Astyanax mexicanus: one gene and its partner. Each later gene encodes a partner of the first gene's protein in a complex. Links are inferred from orthologs where the notes say so. Each region holds a gene or a part of one and is shown in the gene's direction. Other genes may lie near its edges.

Region 1 (12,129 bases):
TGCAGCTGAATCGCAGCCTTCAGAGCGATACATGCGTTTTTACACCTCTACACTCTACTCTCCACCAGCCAGCTGTCAGCCGACACTCCCGTTCACATAAATCCTGCGATGGCTGCACCTAATGTTCAGCTGTGATTAAAAGTGTCCATATTGTGTGTAGTAATCTGTAGTGTTAACTGAGCTATATCCATGTCTCATAGGGTGCTCTGCAAATAAATGGGTCTTTATGGCCATATGGTGCGCTTTTTGGAGGCTGCCAGCTGGCGCCAGGTAGGAATTGCCTCACGCTGATGAAGGAGCAGCTCCTCCGGCCCAAAATACACTTGGTTTAAATAAGTCAAACTGCATATTTGATCACTTTAGAATTGTTCTAAATATGGATGCGTCATGATCCTTAGCATTATCATCCAGAGAACTGTCCAGAAACTTAATAATTTAATTATTTGATGATGTGTTTGTTGTATTCTGGAAGAGCATAAGGTTTCTAGGATGGATTAAAATGCTAAAAATACTTCAGAGCAATTTATTTTCTATATAGAACTATTGGTGAAATGGGTTCTGCACAGTATTTAAAGGGTTCTTTGGATAGTAACAGTAGTATAGCACCAAAAAACTGGGTTCCCAATACTTTCATCATCACGATACCCAGGCAGCCTCCTAAAAACACCACAGCAACAAAATCTAGCACTCCCATCCCAAACAGCATGAAGATTTAGGCCATGAAGCTCAGCTAATATAAGGTCAGTGTGTTGGCAAAAGTGTCTTGTCCCCATATTATACTCCGCAACCGGGGTCTTGGCACATGTGGCTCTGGTTTATTCCCATATTATATTCTGAAACTGAGGTGTTGGCACATGTGGCTTGGGCCAATTCCCATACGTGGTAACCAAGGTACTGATACATGTAGCTCAGGCTGTTTGCCACATTATATTTGGCAACCCAGGTTTGCACATGCAAACACGTATATTATAATCTGAAACTATTATTGATGTAACAATAAGAAAACCACCTTGCATAGAACCACCTTGGCACCTCCACTTACTCAACCAAACCCTATCAGAGCCCAACCTACTAGACCAGTCGAATTATCTGCATTTCATTTAGGTTCGGTCATTTTGCTTGAGAACCTCAGACAGTACACAACAAGATATGTCATGAGACTTTGTTTGAGGGAGGAATCTGTACCTACTGTCTGTGGCAAGTCAGCAGAAAATAACATCACAGTTAAACATGAATTGCACACAAATGAAGATTTGAAACGACCAGGAAAATCAAACTCTTTGCATCTTTTCTTCCAGCAATGTTGGCAGATGCCGTTCCACCACCGTTGCCCTTCTAAAGGTCATGATTCTGGCAGGGTGACACGGGTTCTACATCAGTGTCATGGGTTGCATCTTCCAAACTTGAGCTGAAAATGCCATGCTGTCTTTGGCCTCGCCTCCATTCTCCTCTTAAGCCAAATTGATGACCAGTTTGAAAGTTTTAGGAATCATATGCTTCTATGAGCTGTTTGTTTAATTGCTTATCCCTTATTGTGATGTCAAAATAAGAAAAACACCTTGCATCGAACACCCTTGGCACCACCCCTTACTCGACCAACCCCAACACAACCCCACCCTCTAGTTCAGTTGAATTATCTGCATTTCATTTTGGTTCAGTCATTTTGGTTGAGAACCTCAGACAGTACACAGCAAGATATGTCATGAGACTTTGTTTGAGGTAGGAATCTGTAACCTACTGTCTGTGGCAAGTCAGCAGAAAATAACATCACAGTTAAACATGAATTGCACACAAATGAAGATTTGAAACGAACAGGCAAATCAAACTCTTTGCATCTTTTCGTCCAGCAATGTGGGCAGATGCTGTTCCACCACCGTTGCCCTTCTAAAGGTCATGATTCTGGCAGGGCGACACGGGTTCTAGATCAGTGTCAGGGGGTGCATCTTCCAAACTTGAGCTGAAAATGCCATGCTGTCTTTGGCCTCGCCTCCGTTCTCTTCTCAAGCCAAGCAGCAGGGCTGTTTCTGAGCATCCATCTGCTATCAGATCACATCCATCCATGAAGCTGTGAAGTCTATTCAGCGTCTCGGCTGGACGGCGGAAAGCTGTCCTTGTTTCAGACAGAATGAGGCGGGAAAACGATGCGTTACAGTGATGAATGCGCGGCAGGTGAGCTCAGATTCATGGACTATGACTAATACGGAGAATCATTTATATCTGTCCATGCGAAAAAGATGCTTTATTACATTCCATGGGATGTTTTTTTCCACCGTCGACGGCGGCGGCAGAACCCCGAGGAGTCAAGGTAAAATGGCAGCTCAAGTGTCTTGTCAGGAAGCGGCGCCAACATCCGTGTGACAGGCGTTTTTCATACACCCACGGCCCTGAGCACGAGCACAACAGCAGAGCACGAGCGCTGTAGCAACACGGCCACAAACGCTCTTTTCTTTCACGACAACATCCCGATGACAGGGGTGACATTTAGCTGCTAGCTCTGCCACGTTTCTGCTGACGAGGTCAGCTCATTAAACCCTGGACGGAGCTGCCATGTTGGATCCACAACATCATAATCCACCATGACTAGCTCTCGCGCATTATCAAGACCTGTAGCCGCCATTATTATCCCACAGTTTCAGCTAGAAATCAACATTACAGCCCATACCTTAAAGAGGAATTCCACTTTTCTTATACTTTAGGTGCAACTGAGTGGCTTAGGTGTACACTATACAGAATGGATGGTTACAATGGTTAAACTGAGACCATAAATCAATTTTCTGGTGACCACAACATGCTATATTGGCACCATAAACAAATATATTAAGATCACAAGACATTATCTTGAAGCCATGAGTTAAAAACTTTGGGCCACGAGATAACATTGCACACAATAATATATTGACGCCATTATGCAATATATTGTGGCTATTAGGTAGTATAATTAGATCATATCATAATACCTTGATGGTATTAGATAGTACTGTATATTGAGATCATATCATAATACCTTGAGGCTAATGTCTTGAGCGTACAGGATCATATACAGAAACCGCAAGATAATCTCTCAAAAACCATGAGATAAATACTTTGAAGGTATGAGATAATGTCTTGAGAGAACAGGATCATATATAGAAACCACAAGATAATTGATGGTATATTAATTGATATTGTATTATATTGAGGCTATGAGATAAGGTCTTGAGAGTACAGGATCATATATAGAAAAACTACAAGATAATATATTAAGGCTTTGAGATAATACATAGAGACCACAAGACAATATATTGAGGCTATAAGATTATATATAGAAAAAACAAGAAGATATAGTGAGGCTATGAGATGAATACTTTGATGGTATTAGATGTAATCTTGAGGGTATGAGATAATGTCTCACAAGATAATATCTAGGCAATATATTGAGGCTATACGATAATATCTAGAGACCACAAGAAGATATCTTGAGGCCATAAAATAATATATTGAGACCATATCATAATACCTAGAGGGTATGAGATAACATTTAAAGAGTACAAGATAATATATAGAAACCACAAGATGATATATTGAGACAATAAAGTTCTTAAATTCTTTGATGGTATGAGATATTATCTTGAGGGTATGAGATAATGTATTGAGAGTAAATGATCATATATAGAAACCACAAGATAATATATTGAGGCTATGAGATAATACAGAGAGACCACAATAAGATATCTTAAGCTATGAGATGATATATTGAGACCATATCATGATACATAGAGGATATGATTAATATCTGGAGAGTACAAGATAATATCTTGAGAGTAAAAGATAATATGTAGAAACCACAAGATGATATCTCGAGGCTATGAGAGATAATATATTTAGACCATGTCATAATACCTTTAGGGTATGGGATAATATCTTGAGAGTACAAGATAATATAGAAACCACAAGATAACATATTAAGACCAAAAGATAAATACTTCAACGGTATGATATATTATCTTGAGGGTATGAGATAATGTCTTGAGAGTACAGGATCATATATAGAAACCAAAAGATAACATGGCACAAAATAATATATTGATGCTAGTAGGCAATATCTTGAGGCCGTGAGAGGATACAATATATTGAGAGACCACAAGATAATTGGATAATTGGGATCCTGAGATAATATTTTGAGGCCATGAGATAGTATATTAAGATGAGAGAGTACATGATCATAATTAGAAACCACAAGATATTATATTGAGGCTATGAGATCATACATAGAGACCACAAGAAGATATATATCTTAAGCAATGAGATGATATATTGAGACCATATCATAATACATTGAGGATATGAGTTAATATCAGGAGAGTACAATATAATATATAGAAAACACACGATAATATTTTGAGACCATAAAATAAGTACTTTGATGGTATGAGATAGTATCTTGAGGGTATGAGATAACCAAAAGATAACATGGCACAAAATAATATATTGATGCTAGTAGGCAATATCTTGAGGCCGTGAGAGGATACAATATATTGAGAAACCACAAGATAATGGGGTATTTGGGATCCTGAGATAATATTTTGAGGCCATGAGATAGTATATTAAAATGAGAGAGTACATGATCATAAATGGAAACCACGAGATATTATATTGAGGCTATGAGATCATACATAGAGACCACAAGAAGATATCTTAAGCTATGAGATTATATATGATATTATATATCATAATACATTGAGGATATGAGTTAATATCTGGAGAGTACAAGATATTATATAGAAAACACAAGATAACATCTTGAGACCATGAAATAAGTACTTTGATGGTATGAGATAGTATCTTGAGGGTATGAGATAACCAAAAGATAACATGGCTTGAGGCCATGAGAGGATACAGTAAATTGAGACCATATTGGGGAAATAGGGATCCTAAGATAATATTTTGAGGCCATGAGATAGTATATTAAGATGAGATAATATTTTGAGAGCATGAGATAATTTAAATAGTTAAATTAAGTAGTTAAATAGTTTTTCAAGTAGAAAAAAACGGTGCTATATTTTATACACTCTTTCAAAATGCTCTAAAAGAACTAATTTTATACTAAAACTATATTAAATATTAAATATTTTGGCCACATGTTGATTTTCTTATGATTTTCCTTCAAAAATTTGTACAAAAAAATACATACAGAGTTCAGACATGTGTTTAAACCAACAGTGTAAACCAATCAACCAATCAAAGCAAGGTATCAGTTCTTTTTATCCTTCATATCCAATCATATGTACAGTATCTGCTGGGCATGAATGAGTTAAATTACTGGCTGTGTCTCTACAGTAATGAAGAGTGGAATGGGGGTTTATGAAGCTTGTTGGGGGTTAATCAGGAGTTCATACTGAACAGAAAGAGCGTGCTCATAATGATCCATCACACTCCACAGCTCCTCATTACTCCTCACGCTCTTCCTCCTCCTCTTCATCCACACACTCTCTTCAAAAGAATTCCCATCAAAGCCCTGCTGAACCCTGGCTCTCAGAGATGCTCCGCGTTAAAGGAGATAGTGAACATCTTCTTTACCACTCAGGAATTCAAATAAACACTGAGAGAAAAAAGCTATACTAATTAAATCTGCATGCTCTCTGGGGAACTGTGGCAAAAGAAAGATGTAAGCCTTCTGCACTGAGTAAGAGAAATATAAGAGAATTTATAAAATTATTTTTAAAATATGAATAAAAATTATTCATAAATAAAGTTAAAATATATACACTAGGTGAAATATTACACCAATTATTTTTAAAGACAGTTCTAATTAAATTCAAGGTTCTCATAATATAATTATCATAAAAACATAAAATCAAAGTTTTCAGAACCAGAAGGACATATTCACTCTTAGAACTGACTGGAGACTCGAGAATTATATTATATGAAGTATTCATTTTAAACATGTTGGATTTCTTTGGTTGTAGTTATTGTATTAAACTCAAGGGGGCAGCAAATCTGCATATTTGCATCAATTCATTAAATGGTCTGTACCATTTAAAAAATGTGTTTTTTTGTATTATTTTTTGTCTATTCATCTAATATATTTTATTATTTCACTTTTTGTTTTTAGTTAAATTGCATCATGCATGCAAATTATTTTTTTTATATAAAATTTTGTGTCTTTGTGTCTTTTTTTAAACAATGTTTTACTATTATTTACTTTATTAAATATTCTATACTTACATGTCCATATTCATTTATTAAATTGCTATTTATTTATATTAAAAATCACTATTATTTTCATTTTCCTGTGGTGATTTGCCTATTTACATTTTTAAATATAATAAATAGCCTATGCATATTTAAAATCCTATATTAATTAGATCATTTAGTTGTATTTGCTATATATATCCTATATTATTTTGTCTGTTAAATGTATTGTTCTATGTTAAATATTATAAATAGATTTTTCATTTAATATGTTTAACAGTCTGTTCATTTGATTTGCTTTATATTCCAAAGTCAATTTATTTTTAGACGTTAAAGAGTGAATTTAATTTATATACAGTGATGTGAAAAAGTGTTTGTCACACGGAACAACAGGTAAACACAAAATGCTATTTTTAATGAAGGTGTTTATTATTAAGGGAGAAAAAAAATTCAAACCTACCCTGTGTAAAAAAGTGATTGCCCCCTTGTTAAAACATACCGTCACTGTGGTTTCTGACACCTGAGTACACTTATTGCCACACCTGTTCTCAATCATTTAAATATAATTTAAATAGGACCTGCCTGACAAAGTAAAGTCCACCAAAAGATCCTTAAAAGCTACACATCATGCCGAGATCTAATATATGTTAACTAGTTTTAACTAATTTAATTTTAGATATTGAATAATCGATTTAATATATATTTTGATAATAAATATATTATCTGTGATTTATTTACATAAAAATGTATATTTTATTTATTTTTATATATTAAATGGCATTTTTAATTTATTATTAGATATTAATTAGCGTATTTATTTTTTAGATATTAAACTGTATATTCAATTTATGTTTAGATATGAAATAGCATATTTAATTTATTTTTAGAAATTAAATAGTTTGATTAATTTATTTTTAGATATTAAATAGTCTAGTTATTAAATAGTGTGTGTATAGTGTGTTTATTAGCATGTTTGTGTATAAAATTATTTTATTTTTATTTTATTTTAGTAATGGCGGGTGTTTGGGCGGAAGTGGTGTGGTGATGTCAGGGCTAAGAGTGACGCTGTTTCCGGGAGGAACAGGGCAGTGCAGTGGAGCTGAGGGTCTGTGCCAGTGTGTTTGTGTGTATTAGAGTATATTAATGGGTTAATATGTGTGTATTATAGTGAGTTAATGGGTTAATGTGTGTTAGTGTGAGTGTGTGATGATGTCGGAGTCTCCGGATACCCGCAGTCTGCTGTCTGCGTCCTCTCAGGTTAATCTGATGGAGATAGAGGCGGTGAGTCTGTGTGTTTATATTTATGCTGCTGCTGCTGCTGTTTGTATATTATAGATTGTTTTATATCTCAGCGGGTTCAGTATTTAGTTCTCTCTGACTGTATCACAAATAAATTGCCATGGTTAACAACAACAACAACAACAACAACAACAGCAGCAGTAATACTAGCTAGCTGCCCATGTTTACAGGCAACAGTGTGATATACAGTGTTATAAACTGTATAATAAACTCTATTTGTCATTGTTTATGTAGTTTCTGACACTGTATAATATATTTATTATTCAAAAATGCTAAGAAAAACCCTAAAAACATGGCAAAGGCAAAGAATTACAGTTGTCTATGTTTATAGAGAGCACTGTATCACATACTGCTCTGTATTAAAGTGCACAAAAGTACATATAGCAGCTAAAAAGCAGTAGCAACCATTATCCTTTTTTTCATATTTAACCATCACAAAGAGTCCATACCACACACAGAGTTTATTATGCAGTTTCTGATACAGTATGGACAATTTTGATGTTTAAATAAACTACTAACCTACATAAGTACAAAACTACATTATAAACTAACCAACAGTTGCAAGAATCTCCTTGGATTTGTGCATTAAATCGGTCATTAAATGTGTTCTGATCAAACTCAAAACTGGTGTGTTTTTATTTTTAAATATACTACACAATATATATATATATATATATATATATATATATATATATATATATATATATTGTGTAGTATTAATTTAAGCAGACTGTGTTTGTCTATTGTTGTGACTTAGATGAAGATCAGAACACATTTAATGAGCAAATTATGCAGAAATTCAAGTAAATCCAAATCCCAAAGGGTTCACATACTTTTTCTTGCAACTGTACTTAGGTTTTTGACACTGTATGGCACATTGCTCTCCACAAAAGATTGACAAAAATATATTTAGATTTCACTGTTCTGATTGGATATAAAGTCAACTTTTTCTTTTACACAGGGTTTACACATGTGTATTGCTACTATGAGTTTTACTGAAATTGCATTGAAAATATTAGCAGTACAATATGTTGCTGAAAGTCACTATGTTTTGAATAGTAAGCCCTGTATCACCACCATAGGTTACCTTATTTTAGTAGAAATGTTGGTTATCTATACTTTACTGGAGTAATCATTTATTTTTCAGACGACTCTTTACTTCTGCTCCTCACATTTTCACACAATTATCTGAACTTTCTACTCATTACATTTTAAAAACAGCCTGGTTACTCCTATTTCATTTAAGCTCGTTTTTATTCTGACTTCTCATCCTTCAATTTCATTTACAATGGGCATATATGCAGCTGAAACAAGGAAGAGCCTAGTGCATCCCAAATGTATTAACATTAACATGTTAATAATAGAACATTATAATCATTATGACTTTTAGAAGAAATGTGTTTTGGGAAGGGAGGGGGGGTAGTGCACTATAGGACTCTGTGGCACTGCCTAAGCTTTTGTTCTTAATGGAATTTTTAATCACCTTTGATCTCAGATTGATGATAAGGAGTTTGATATCCCTCAAGTGGACACGCCGCCTACTCTGGAGAGCATTCTGAATGAGGTGAGTTATTGTGAATAGCTGGCAATAAATAGCTGGAGGTTGGTTCAGATATACACACACTGAGTTTAGTGTACTCTTCTGGCCTAGAAGACATAGACACATACAGTACCAAAAGTTTGAACACTCCATCTCATTCAGTGTTTACTTCATTTGTGTATTTAATTAATTTTCTAAATTATAGATTTATATTATTAGTAATTTTTTTACTTTATTTAAAAAATAAAACAAAATAATACAGGTATAATATAGGTAGAATGTCTTACTTATGTGTATTACGTATGTGTATGCTTACAGAAAAAATGTAAAAAAAAAAAACTGGACACCATTTTGTCAGAAAATCCGTTTTTAGTTGTAGGTTTGCGGTTATTTCTTCCATTAAATACACATCCTTAACCCTTTCCCTCCATTGTTGTATTGAGGGGGGCTGTGGCTTTAGCCAGGAGACGGTAAGCGTTTTCTTAGCGATCAAATGAAGAATTTGTGCTATTAATATCTGCTTTCTATCTGTTACTTCCTCTGGTATAATTCCTAAAGTAAAGCATAATGGTTCTAATAGCAGTTCTATATTTAAGCATTTGTTTATTTCATTTTGTATGTTTTTTCCAATATTCTAATAATTTTGGGCAATCCCAAAATATGTGTGTATGGTCTCCTACCAAACCACAGCCCCTCCAACATTTATCTGATGTGTCTCTCAATTTTGATGATTAATATTATTATTTGAAGTGATTTGGGATAAAAAGTAGCAGCTATTGTTCAGCACCTCCAGGAACTCCTTCCGTCAAGACACTGAGAAAACTATTCCGGGTGACTCTCCCTCATGAAGACACTGAGATTAAAATACAGATCTTTGCAGAAATGTGCAGATCTGTCCTCAAAGATCTCTCCTCTGTCCTAAATGTGATACTTGGAAAAACCTAAAGTATGAAACACATTCTGGGTTGTTAAACACTTTTATTAGGAATAATTCTGTGTTGTGTTCCTGTAAAGCTTTAATATAATCTTTAATATTACATTTACAATGTCAAAAAATCATAAAAAGACAGAAAACACATTGAATGAGAAGAATGAGTGTGTCCAAAGTTTTGTCTTTAAATCTGGTATTATTGGAAGACCCATATGTTTAGATTTGTTTAATCTGTGTGTGTATGTCTGTATTTTTTGTAGCCTGAAGATGAAGATGAGCAGTTCATCCTGGAGGACACGTGTCTGCTGAGCACAGAAAACATTGACGCTCATTCCTGTGAGACCTCCTCTCTCGCCAGCTCTGACAGTGGAGACCGAGCACACCTGAAAAGGTACAAACAACACAAAAAGCGTTAACGGATGTGATTAATTAGGAATCAGTAATGGTTACTATTTATTTTTTTTAACGCAATTAACTAGGTCACTAAGTTTTACCCCAACTTCTGCCGTAATCTGCCCTGCCCCTGCCCAACACGCAGATTTATTTTTTGGCTGAAGCGGTTCACTTGACTAATCACAGTTAGTCACAGGATTTTGTTGTAATTATTATGATTTTGTTGATTGACACAACTAGAACCACGCATCAAAAGAGCTGGGATATTAAAACAAACTCAAGTTGCTGTATTTAGAGATGATAGGTTTATAATACATATAATACATATAATGCATATAATACTGTATTACACAACCTACTCAGTATGTATTTTTTTATTGTCTCTTCCAGGCGGAGGAGAGCAGTAGAGACTACCGCTACAGTTCATGGATCAGTTCTGAGACACAGTGTGCTGAAAGGCATCTCGGCTCAGATCGTCTCGGCTGCTGTGAGTATCTGTCTGTAAGAAGCATCTAAGGCTGATAACTGATAAACCTATCCTGTGTAACACAGGGAACTCTAGCTCTTCCTTTTCTTGAGTGGTCCTGATGAGAGCCAGTTCCATCATAATGTTTTTAATGGTCTTTGTGACTGCACTTGAGGATACTTTCAAAGTTCTTGAAATGTTTCCTTTCAGATTGACTGACATTAATTTCTTCTAAAAGTATTTTTTCTTTACTTAGTTGAGTAGTTTTCGCCATAATCTGGATTAGAACATTACTCAAATAGAGCTATTATTCACTGTATACCTGTAACTCTACCTCTTCACTACTTTACAATTGATCCTCTCAAACACTTTAACAGACAAGAAATTAAAGTATTTAACTCTTTAAGAGTACAGCACAGCTGTTAACTGAAAGCCTGAATTCCAGGTCACTCAACCTCATAAAGCTGACTGAGAAAATCCAGCCAAGATGTCCAAAACTGTCTAACCTAAGCAAGAGGTGCTACTTTGAAGAATCTTAAATATATAAAATGTATTCTGGTTTGATTAACACTTTTTTTGTTGTTGGCTAAATTATCCCATTTGTTTTTCTGCATAAATTGAAAAAAAAAAAGTCTTTATTTACAATACCACTGCATTTAAGGTGTGTCCAATTAATGTTAATATGTTTAAACATCTTCAAAAGGACATGTCATTTTACTGTACATGTAGCTATACTGTATTACTTATCCTCCTTTATTTTCTTCTCTTTTCAGGATAAAGTTGATGCAGGCTTGCCTACGGCCATCGTAAGCACTTTTCTGAGCTTGTTTTAAGGCAAATTCTTCAGTGTTTTTGTTTGTATTCTGTTCAGCTTGTTCTCTACTGGTGTTTGTTGTGTTTTTAGACAGTGTCCAGTGTTATCGCTGTGGGAACGTCACATGGCCTGGCCCTCGTATTCGGTGAGTGTTTAATACGTTTAATAAATGTTAATATCTTGTGTTTTTTAAACATTGAAACAGTATAGCAAAGTTTATCTCTGGCAGATTAACATTATTTAGAGCCCTATCATACACCTTGGTGTACCTATCTTACACGTGGTAGACTGAAAGTGAGGTGTGTTCAGTAAAATTTCTGGCGTGTTTCTATTTTGGTGGTGAAAAACACAGGTGCGCCACTGACTTATTAAAACCCTGACAACAGTCAATCATCAAGTCCATTCTTATAGGTGGTCCCAGTGCACTGCATACATCCCCGCGCATTAAACACAGAAATAATCACACTGCAGAGCACAAACAAAGCTTTTACATCAACAATAAACAGAAAAAAGTA
Region 2 (9,148 bases), on another chromosome or scaffold:
AAGTCAGTAATGACAGAGATCATCATACAAATTCAGATGCACTCAGGTTCTAAAGTATAAAGCCCTACACAGGATCACTTCTGAGTATTTGCGAGACCTCATCTCCTATTATGAACCACCATGATGACATAGATCTCAGGGTGCTGGTTTCTTAGTAGTTCCTAAAATTCAGAGACGCTCTGCAGGAGGAAGAGCTTTCTCTTATAAAGCTCCCTAACTCTGGAATAATCTCCCCGAATATGTTCGGGACTCAGACACAGTCTCAATCTTTATGTCTAGACTAAAAACTTACTTGTTTAGCTTATCTTTTAATTAATGTTATTAATGTTTTTTCCCTTTGGATAAGGCTGCAGATCCAGGGGTTCATGGACAGAGGGAATTGTGGTAAACTGGGCTGGTGCTGCTGTTCTCCCACTGCACACGCTCACTCAGGTTTGTGGACGGTGGAGTGGGTGAATGCTGGTGTTTCAGGCTGCCTTCGTGTCTATGTTTACTTCTGGCTCTCTACCTTTAGTTAGGCTGTTTCATTCAGATCTGCCAGAGTCATTAGCCACACTAGCCAAATATGATAATGTTTCATATTTTCTGTTCTCCATAAATTCAGTTAAAACTAATTCCATCTCTCTCCCGGATGTTGGACCCTCAGGATCTCATGTCCTCTGTCCGGCCAGACTAATGGAAGTTTCGGAAGTCAGCTCTTCTCCATCACCCACCACAGATTAGCTGCTCATCATTCATCTTAAACACAGAAGAGGACACAGCCATGGAGCCTCAGGTGGAGCTCAGAGAGTCACGGCCTGAGAAAAGGGAAGAATCTTGATTGATTGTCTGCCAGTCAGGGGATAGCACCACCACTGCTACCAGAACACTACAGAGGAAATTAAACAGTCAAGAGCCATGATTCTGTGGAGTATGATGTTGTTAAAGACTGATAATCATTTCTTAAATAAGAGTTTGGCTAGATTCAATCCTTGGCATCAAGCAGAAATGTGTAGTGTGTACCTAAATAACGTTCACATGTGGGGCCTGTATGATCCGACCAATTGAGACCCAAAAGCTTTTGTCCATGGGTTTCACGTATGGATGTCAGTGATTGCCCTATCAGGATCAGTGATCAGACTTGTCTTGTCTCGAGTTTTGCCAAATCTGAACTCAGTGTCTTTTTGATTCAGGTTCAGATGTATCAAACATATCATGTTCAGTGAACAGCTGTTTCAAGAATGTATGGAACACAAATGCGAAAAGAAAAACAAAATTACGATCCTCAAGAACCACGGTGTAACATAGAACAACAATAAAATAGTGCAATAAGATGCAAAAGTGTAAAAATAGTGCAACATAAAACTGTAACACTACAATAAATACAACAGAAGATACATTTCTAGTCAGAATAAAATGCTGGAAGGTGCTGTTAAAGAAACTTAAGAAGACAGAGCTCTTCAAAGAGCACTTACTCCCCTAACACCTCTAACTAACTACCTTCTACTACCAGATCAGGAGAATCTCTCACTATCTTTAATAAACTCCTGAAGACAGAGCTCTTCAAAGAGCACTTACTCTCCTAACACCTCTAACTAACTACCTTCTACTACCAGATCAGGAGAATCTCTCACTATCTTTAATAAACTCCTGAAGACAGAGCTCTTCAAAGAGCACTTACTCTCTTAACATCCTTTAACTAACTAATTACTTTTCCTCCTCTATCTCACTATTCCCTTTGAGCTAATTTAGGCTCATTTCAGTCTCTGTGTGCTGAGAGAGAGAGTGTGTGTGTGTGTGTGTGTGAAGAGTGGTGGTGGGGTTCAGTTCAGTTCTGTGTGTGTATGTGTGTGTGAAGAGTGGGGGTGGGGTTCAGTTCAGATCTGTGTGAGCGCGTGTGAAGAATGGTGAGGGGGGTCAGTTCTGTGTGTGTGTGAAGAATGGTGGGGGGGGGGGGGTTCAGTTCAGTTCTCTGTGGGTGTGTCTGAAGAATGGTGGGGGTTCAGTTCAGTTCTGTGTGAGTGTGTTGTGTGTGTGTGATGGGTGGGGTGGGGTTCAGCTGTGCCTCTGTGTGTTGAGGAGTCTGACTGCCTGATGGATGAAGCTGTTGCAGAGTCTAGTAGTGGAGGCTCGGGTGCTCCTGTATCTTCTGCTGGACGGCATCAGAGCGAAGAGTCCGTGTGAGGGATGGGAGGGGTTGTCCACAATGCTGGTGGCTTTGCGGATGCGGCGTGTGGTGTAGATCTCGGTGATTGAGGGAAGAGAGACTCTTCTCGGCTGTCCTCACTATCCGTTGTAGGGTCTTGCGGTCTGAAGTGTTGCAGTTCCCATGCAGGTGTTTAGGATGCTTTTTTACAGTCCCTCTGTAGAACATGGTGAGGATGGGAGGTGGAAGATGTGCTTTCCTCAGTCTGATGTTAAGTGAAGTTTAAGGGTTAACTTTATCTAGCACTCAGTGCTGCATCTTTACATCTAAGGCTGTATCTCTGAAAACATTTCCTCCTTTGAGTTTTAGAGCTGTAAAAAAGGGGAAGGCAGGTGGACGTTCTCTGCTCCAGTACCGTTAGCCAATCAAAGGCGATATATTTGCATGTATGAATATTTATGAGCACAAGCCTCTAATTTAGTAAACTAAACAGGGCTAAATAGAAACACCTGAGCATTCATTCATACTAGAGACCACAACATTGATGGAATGAGACCTTTAAGACATTGCTTATAGTACTATGCATACTATTAGGGTCATTATGGATATATATTTACAGTGTATTTCAAACACTGTATTGAAATATATGGTATTAGATCTAAACATGCGGGGTGATCACTAAATAAGAGTAAGTATTAATAAATACAGGACTGAGGTAATAAAAAGGGTATCTGGCTCCCTCATGTGGTGTATATTTATAATTGCATTTTTATAGTGAAAATCTAAAAGCCACTCCCCAGAAAATGTGTGTGTGGTAAATCATGTTGCTTATTTTCAGTTTTATTCCTGTACACACTGTAAACGTACAAGCTATTGTACATAACAAATATATTTCTATACTGTCACTACATCACTCATATGCTAAATTATCTGCATGTTTACTGTGTATTTGTACCTTTAAATCTATTTTTATATTAGCTTTATATATTGTAAAACAGTTTAGCTTGTGAAATATATTTTTAGTAAAAAAATATTTTTTGAGTAGAAGTAATTTGTGCGAAAGTACATCAGATAGATCTGGTTTCATACATTTCCATTTTTTTTAAACAACGGATATTTAATTGTATGTTTACATCTGTATATATATATATATATATATATATATATATATATATATATATATATATATATACTTTTTTACCATTTTAATACATCTGACAGTGTAATAATGTACTTATTACGGTATATTGAATAATGATCATTGTTCCATCTGTTAATGCATTGAAACGTTGATCTCCGACATCAGAACTGATTTATTTGTGCAAATTGGTTTTACATTGATTTAAGGTTATGATTGTATATGTATTGTGTGTATTAAACATCACTTACATTAAACATGTATATCTTGTTTCTTTTCTATAACTACAGCTCGTATTGCGTTCTTGCAGTGTAGAAATCAGCACAAATAATGTGAATAAATTTGTTATTTCTGTGCTGTTTCAGTGTACGGTCTGCTTTTATCTCTTAAATATAACTAGATACTTTTATACAGCGTTAGGGATCATATAATAAATAACTAGATACTAGTTATCAGGGACAAACGTAGATCCAATAAAAACTTTACTACTACTACGGTTGTATAAACGCCTTGTCCCTTTAGGGATTCCGTAGAGAAAGTTCCGAGGGGGTGCCGCTGGGTAATGAAGTTTTATTGACATTAGGTCAAAATCAGGTATTACCCTAAAACAAAGAATGGTTAAATAATGTGTTAGAACAGAGTAAAAACGGGCTGTGTGGGATAAATGTGTGAACTGAATGACAGTCAGGCTGTCGGCACATTAAAGTATTTAATAACAGCCCTCTAAACGGAACTTTATCACATGAGCGGATGTAGTCCGCAGGAAGCGGCGGTCCGGTCCGGTTCTACGGCAGCAACAGCAGGGCGGGGAAAGCCGGAGCGGAGCGGAGAGCAGCGGGGACGGGAGAACAGGGAGGCCCAGCAGCAGAGCAGCCTCCCCGGACAGAACCGCGGCGCTACCGGCTGGGGTACGGAGCTTTATTCACTGTGGCTCTCAGCAGAAATCTCGGTGTTAAAACACCGCTTATTAAAGTTCCACCGCTAGCAGGTGTTCTATCGAGTTGTGCTACCCAGCGATATGTGCGAGTTTGAATTGTTCCCCATTTGTTTTCCTCTGTTTCGTGTCACTTTATTTTCAGCATAATTTTGACTTACTGGCATTATATAATTGGCTTAAGTGTTAATGATTAATAAATAAATTTAAAAAATAAAATAGTTCTTGATCTCAATTATCTCGTATTTATCTAGCAAGCATTCAGCTTCATACAGTGATTTATCCATGTCTAGGCCATCCAGATAGCCAGAAGATAACATAGCTAGGTACAGGTATTAGCTATAATTGATATAGCTACTACTGTTTGTATTATCTTATATGATCAACCTTATATAATTTAGCCTGACCAAAATATTTTTTAAGGCTCAGCTAGGGTTACCTATTTTTCTTTTTATCTGTAAATTTACCTGACTTTACGTAAATGTATATATTTATGATAGTACACATACTTTTATATCTTAGTATTTTATTTACGTACAATATTTTATTTATTTATAGTGTCCTTGGCTTATTATTATTATTATTATTATTATTATTATAGGATACCCTGTGGTAGCACGTTTTGGCAAGGTTGCACAATTCGTCAGAACACTGCGATTCACTGAACTGCGCTGCTGAACTCCGCTAGCTGTGGCTAACAGTTAGCACGCTAGCTTTTCTTTGGTGTTGTGGTGCCAGTGTAAAGCTGTTGGCCCTGGTTTCCGTGGTGTTTTATTAAAGATGAGGGTTCGACCATGGCCACACTGTTAGCCAGCTACATTATTGTTTTAATATTGTAATTATCTAGCTGCTCTGGTCTCATGCTAGTTAGCTAATCAGCACAGCCAGCAGGCTAGCTCTCTGTTAGCATGCTGACTAGCAGCTTCACACAGTTAGCCTTACTGTCATTCAGTTGTCAGAGCTGTCAGGGAGTGTTTACTACAGAGACTCATTTAGGATCGTTAGGTGTGAAGAAGCCTTTACAGGTAATGTGTCCCCATACGGGTTGTGTATGGGTAGCCCAACTGGGAAGCAGTACATTTTATGTTAACAGCTTTCATGTTGACCCCACATATGGATGCCTGTAAGCAGGGTTGCCAGTTCCAACAAAAAATATCCAGCCCAAAGTCAGTCTAAAACCTGCCCTTCATAAGCTTAAGCTAGCCCAAAATATATATCTGTCACACATTTGAAGCGAATGGCAAAACAACTGAGTGTACCCCTTAGTATTTTGTTTATAAGGGGTTTATTATCAGTATTGCTGTTTAACTCTCCTGAACTCTCTTCTCTCCTGTTTAACAGTTTTTTTTTTATCGCCTGGTGATTTGTGGTTTCTCCTCTCTCTCTCTCTCTCTCTCTCTCTCTCTCTCTCTCTCTCTCTCTCTCTTTCTCTCTTTCTCTCTTTCTCTCTCTCTCTCTCTCTCTCTCTCTCTCTCTCTTCCTCCGTTTCTGCATCTCTCTCTCCCCCTTTCTCTACCCATCTCTCTTGATCTGTTTCTCTCTCTCTCTCTTCCTCTCTTTCTCCATCTCTCTCTCTTTCTCCTCCTCTCTTTCTCCTCCTCTCTCTCTCCCACTCCATCTCTCCCCCTTTCTCCCCCCCCCTTTCTCTCCCAATCTTTCTCCATCTCTCTCCCCTCTCTCATCTCTCTCCCTCTCTTTCTCTTTCTCCATCTCTCCCCTCTCCTTCTCCATCTCTCTCCCCCTCTCCTTCTCCATCTCTCTCCCCCTCTCCTTCTCCATCTCTCTCCCCCTCTCCTTCTCCATCTCTCTCCCCTCTCCTTCTCCATCTCTCTCCCCCTCTCCTTCTCCATCTCTCTCCCCCTCTCCTTCTTCATCTCTCCCCCTCTCCTTCATCTCTCTCTCTCTCTCTCCCTCCCTCTCTCTCTTTCTCCCCCTCTTTCTCCCCCTCTCTCTTTCCGTCTCTCTCCTGCTCTCCTTTTGTACACTGTCCTCCTTTATGTTGTTATGTTCTCTAGATTCTTTATTTTGTAAACAATCTTGGAAGATTGGAAGATTTTAGTGTACACGTTTGTCCGCCGTGTTGACGTAACATCCAAGGCAACACCCACTTTTTAGTTTTTTTGGCGGCCAATGTAATTTTTAAATGGAAACCCAAAAAACCCTAACCCTAACCCCTAAAATTCCACTTGACTGGATTTTAAAACAAGCCTAATTTGGCGGGAAAACCACAAACCTGGCAACTGTGCTTGTAAGGGGCAGTTAAGAGGGCAGGAGGAGGTTACACATGGGGCTGGTCTGAGTTGTACACTACACATGAGATTGAGGTGGGCTGAAATGATTTGACCCATTTGGGAAGCCCAACCGGGTCCCAGTAACACGTACAAGCCCACTCAGGTTGTTGTTGACTTTCTTCTTGATTGGACTGAAATGATAGTAGATCACATGGCTTTAAGAAGACTGAAACGTTTTTTTCCCTCTGTTATACAGATGTACTGATAATATGCTGATTATATAATAATGTAGATTTAACGTGTAGTAATAGTACATTGGAGATTTTTGACAAAATGTACTGCCTGAAAATTTTACGGTATATTTTCGAACATGCTGTTTCTTAAAACATGTATCATCCTTGTGTAAGTAACACTTACTTTACATATTTGGCTCTGTCTATATAGAGGCTAAGCTATTGATAACTTGCTCTCTGTGCAAACTAGACTATTTTACCAATTAAAAGTTGCAAGTAGACTCGCCCTCACCCTTGACAGAGCATAAAAGAGAACAGAATAGCGCAATTGGCTAAAATACAGCTTATTGAAGTATTTTTACTCGTCCTTTTAATGCTTATTCTTTTGGAATCTAACCCATTATTGCGTTTTTGTGCATGTATTGTACAGCAAGTTGATAACAACTAACCATAGCAGGCCTATCCTTACATACAAGTATATAACATTCTAAGTAAACATATACTGCAAATTTATTAAAGAAAGTCTGTATTGAAATTCACTCCAGTGCATCCTAACTGACTCTGAATTCATATCTCCCTCCTCTCTCCAAGCAGATGTGAACATCAGCATGAGTGTGAAGGCCTTTGAGCTGGTGCCCGCTGTGGAGCGGGAGCAGTTGATGGGCGAAAAGGTGCGCATCGGCATCGAGTGCATAGAATGCTGCGGGCAGCACTTGTACGTGGGCACCAACGACTGCTTTATCCATCACTTCCTTTTGGAAGAACGCTCCACCAAAGGCAGGCTTACCTACAGCAGCCAGAAGCTCCTGCAGAAGTTTCTGGGTCTGAAGAAGCCCGTGGCCGAGCTGAAGGCCGCCTCGGCTCTGGAGCGTCTCATTATCCTGTGTGATGGCACCGTCTCTCTGTTGGACATGGTCACTCTGGAGCCTGTACCGTTTGGTGGAGCCAAGGTGAAAAATGTGATTGCGTTCTGCGTCAATGAGAACCCAGTAACGGCCGACCCCTTCTGTGTGGAGATGGCGGTGGTGTCGGCGCGCCGACGGGCCGTCCAGATTTTCACAGTGCACGAGGATCGGGTCCAGATGCTGAAGGAGGTGACCACGCCTGAGCAGCCCTGTGCCCTCAGCGTGGACGGCTACTTCCTGTGCCTGGCACTGCCCACGCAGTACATGATCCTCAACTACAGTAGCGGAGCCTCGCAGGACCTGTTTCCCTACGACAGTGAGGAGAGGAAGCCCATCGTTAAGAGGATCGGCAGGGAGGAGTTCCTACTGGCTGCTCCGGGTGGACTTGGTGAGTTCAGCACCAGGAACAGTAAACAGTTGTCACTCATGTGGAAGCATACTGAAAGCATTTTGTTGATTATGTAATTTTATAGAATATAGGACAATATATTTGCCACTGCTGTGCAATTTAAGCAGTTAATTCCAGTCATAAATTTAGCTCGGCAGTGCCACTCTAGTCACATGTAAAATTTTTACATTTGCTCAGAGATAGTCAGTCTTTTGGTAAACAAACAAACAAACACTAAAGTTAAGTTATCTCAGCAAATGTTATTATACTATACTGTATCTACAGCTCCAGTATCTCATAGTGGTCATTCTCTGCAGCTCTGAGGACCAATTGTGGTGGATTCCTGTCCACATATTAAGGTGTCTTCAAATCAGACAGTGTGATACGGCATGCTGTGGTTGCATAATCATGATCCTGTATTGTGTCATTATTTCTGCTGGTAACTGAAACAGTGGGTGGAGAATATGGGTAGATTTTGAAATAGTGAAAAATATTAGTTACACAAATTTGGCCTATCATGATAACTATCATATTTTTTGGGATAATATGTTGAACCAGAAACTGCAAATAACAAAACTTTAATATTTTAAGATCATTGTATGCCACTTGTATAATAATGATATATTTGCATTATGGCCCTATGATTTCTGTAATGCAGAAAACACGGACAGAACCACGGAATTAAGCAATTACAGCAAAATTCAAATGCACAGAGTTAGAAAATGTCCCGTAGGCTGGTACTGGTGTTCTGACATTCATAGTAATTTGCAGACCATCTTACACATCATATCAAACAGAACTTACCATATCTAACCAGCACAGAAACATCGTTCAGATATTTCTTTGCATGAAACTTGGCAAAAGCAATGGTGCCCTGTCACACAAAAGCAGAGAGTGTGCACAGAATTGCAGATCATTCAGATGATCCAAACAGCACCCGCATCGCTGAAATCTCTCAGGTGCTCATGCAGTCTATCGCTCACTCGCATTTGCACTCTCTCCTTCTCTCTTTCGCATTTGTACTCTCTCCTTCTCTCTTTCGCATTTGCACTCTCTCCTTCTCTCTTTCGCATTTGTACTCTCTCCTTCTCTCTTTCGCATTTGTACTCTCTCCTTCTCTCTTTTCTCATTTGCACTCTCTCCTTCTCTCTTTCGCATTTGCACTCTCTCCTTCTCTCTTTCGCATTTGCACTC

The links. The genes of interacting proteins can lie anywhere in the genome.
Region 2: vps8 (region 1) and tgfbrap1 share a complex: the UniProt entries of both Homo sapiens proteins name them as parts of the putative class C core vacuole/endosome tethering (CORVET) complex. The link is inferred for Astyanax mexicanus from reciprocal best matches to the Homo sapiens genes VPS8 and TGFBRAP1.

Annotation. Positions count from the first base shown.
Region 1 is NC_064428.1:31,161,664-31,173,792, forward strand, and holds the start of vps8 (vacuolar protein sorting-associated protein 8 homolog), read left to right. Parts: upstream 1-7,223; 5' UTR 7,224-7,377; coding exon 7,378-7,452; intron 7,453-8,965; coding exon 8,966-9,034; intron 9,035-10,201; coding exon 10,202-10,332; intron 10,333-10,724; coding exon 10,725-10,821; intron 10,822-11,573; coding exon 11,574-11,606; intron 11,607-11,704; coding exon 11,705-11,759; intron 11,760-12,129. UniProt on the Homo sapiens protein: Plays a role in vesicle-mediated protein trafficking of the endocytic membrane transport pathway.
Region 2 is NC_064412.1:43,277,596-43,286,743, reverse strand, and holds the start of tgfbrap1 (transforming growth factor-beta receptor-associated protein 1 homolog), read left to right. Parts: upstream 1-3,924; 5' UTR 3,925-4,005; coding exon 4,006-4,171; intron 4,172-7,255; coding exon 7,256-7,954; intron 7,955-9,148. UniProt on the Homo sapiens protein: Plays a role in the TGF-beta/activin signaling pathway. It associates with inactive heteromeric TGF-beta and activin receptor complexes, mainly through the type II receptor, and is released upon activation of signaling.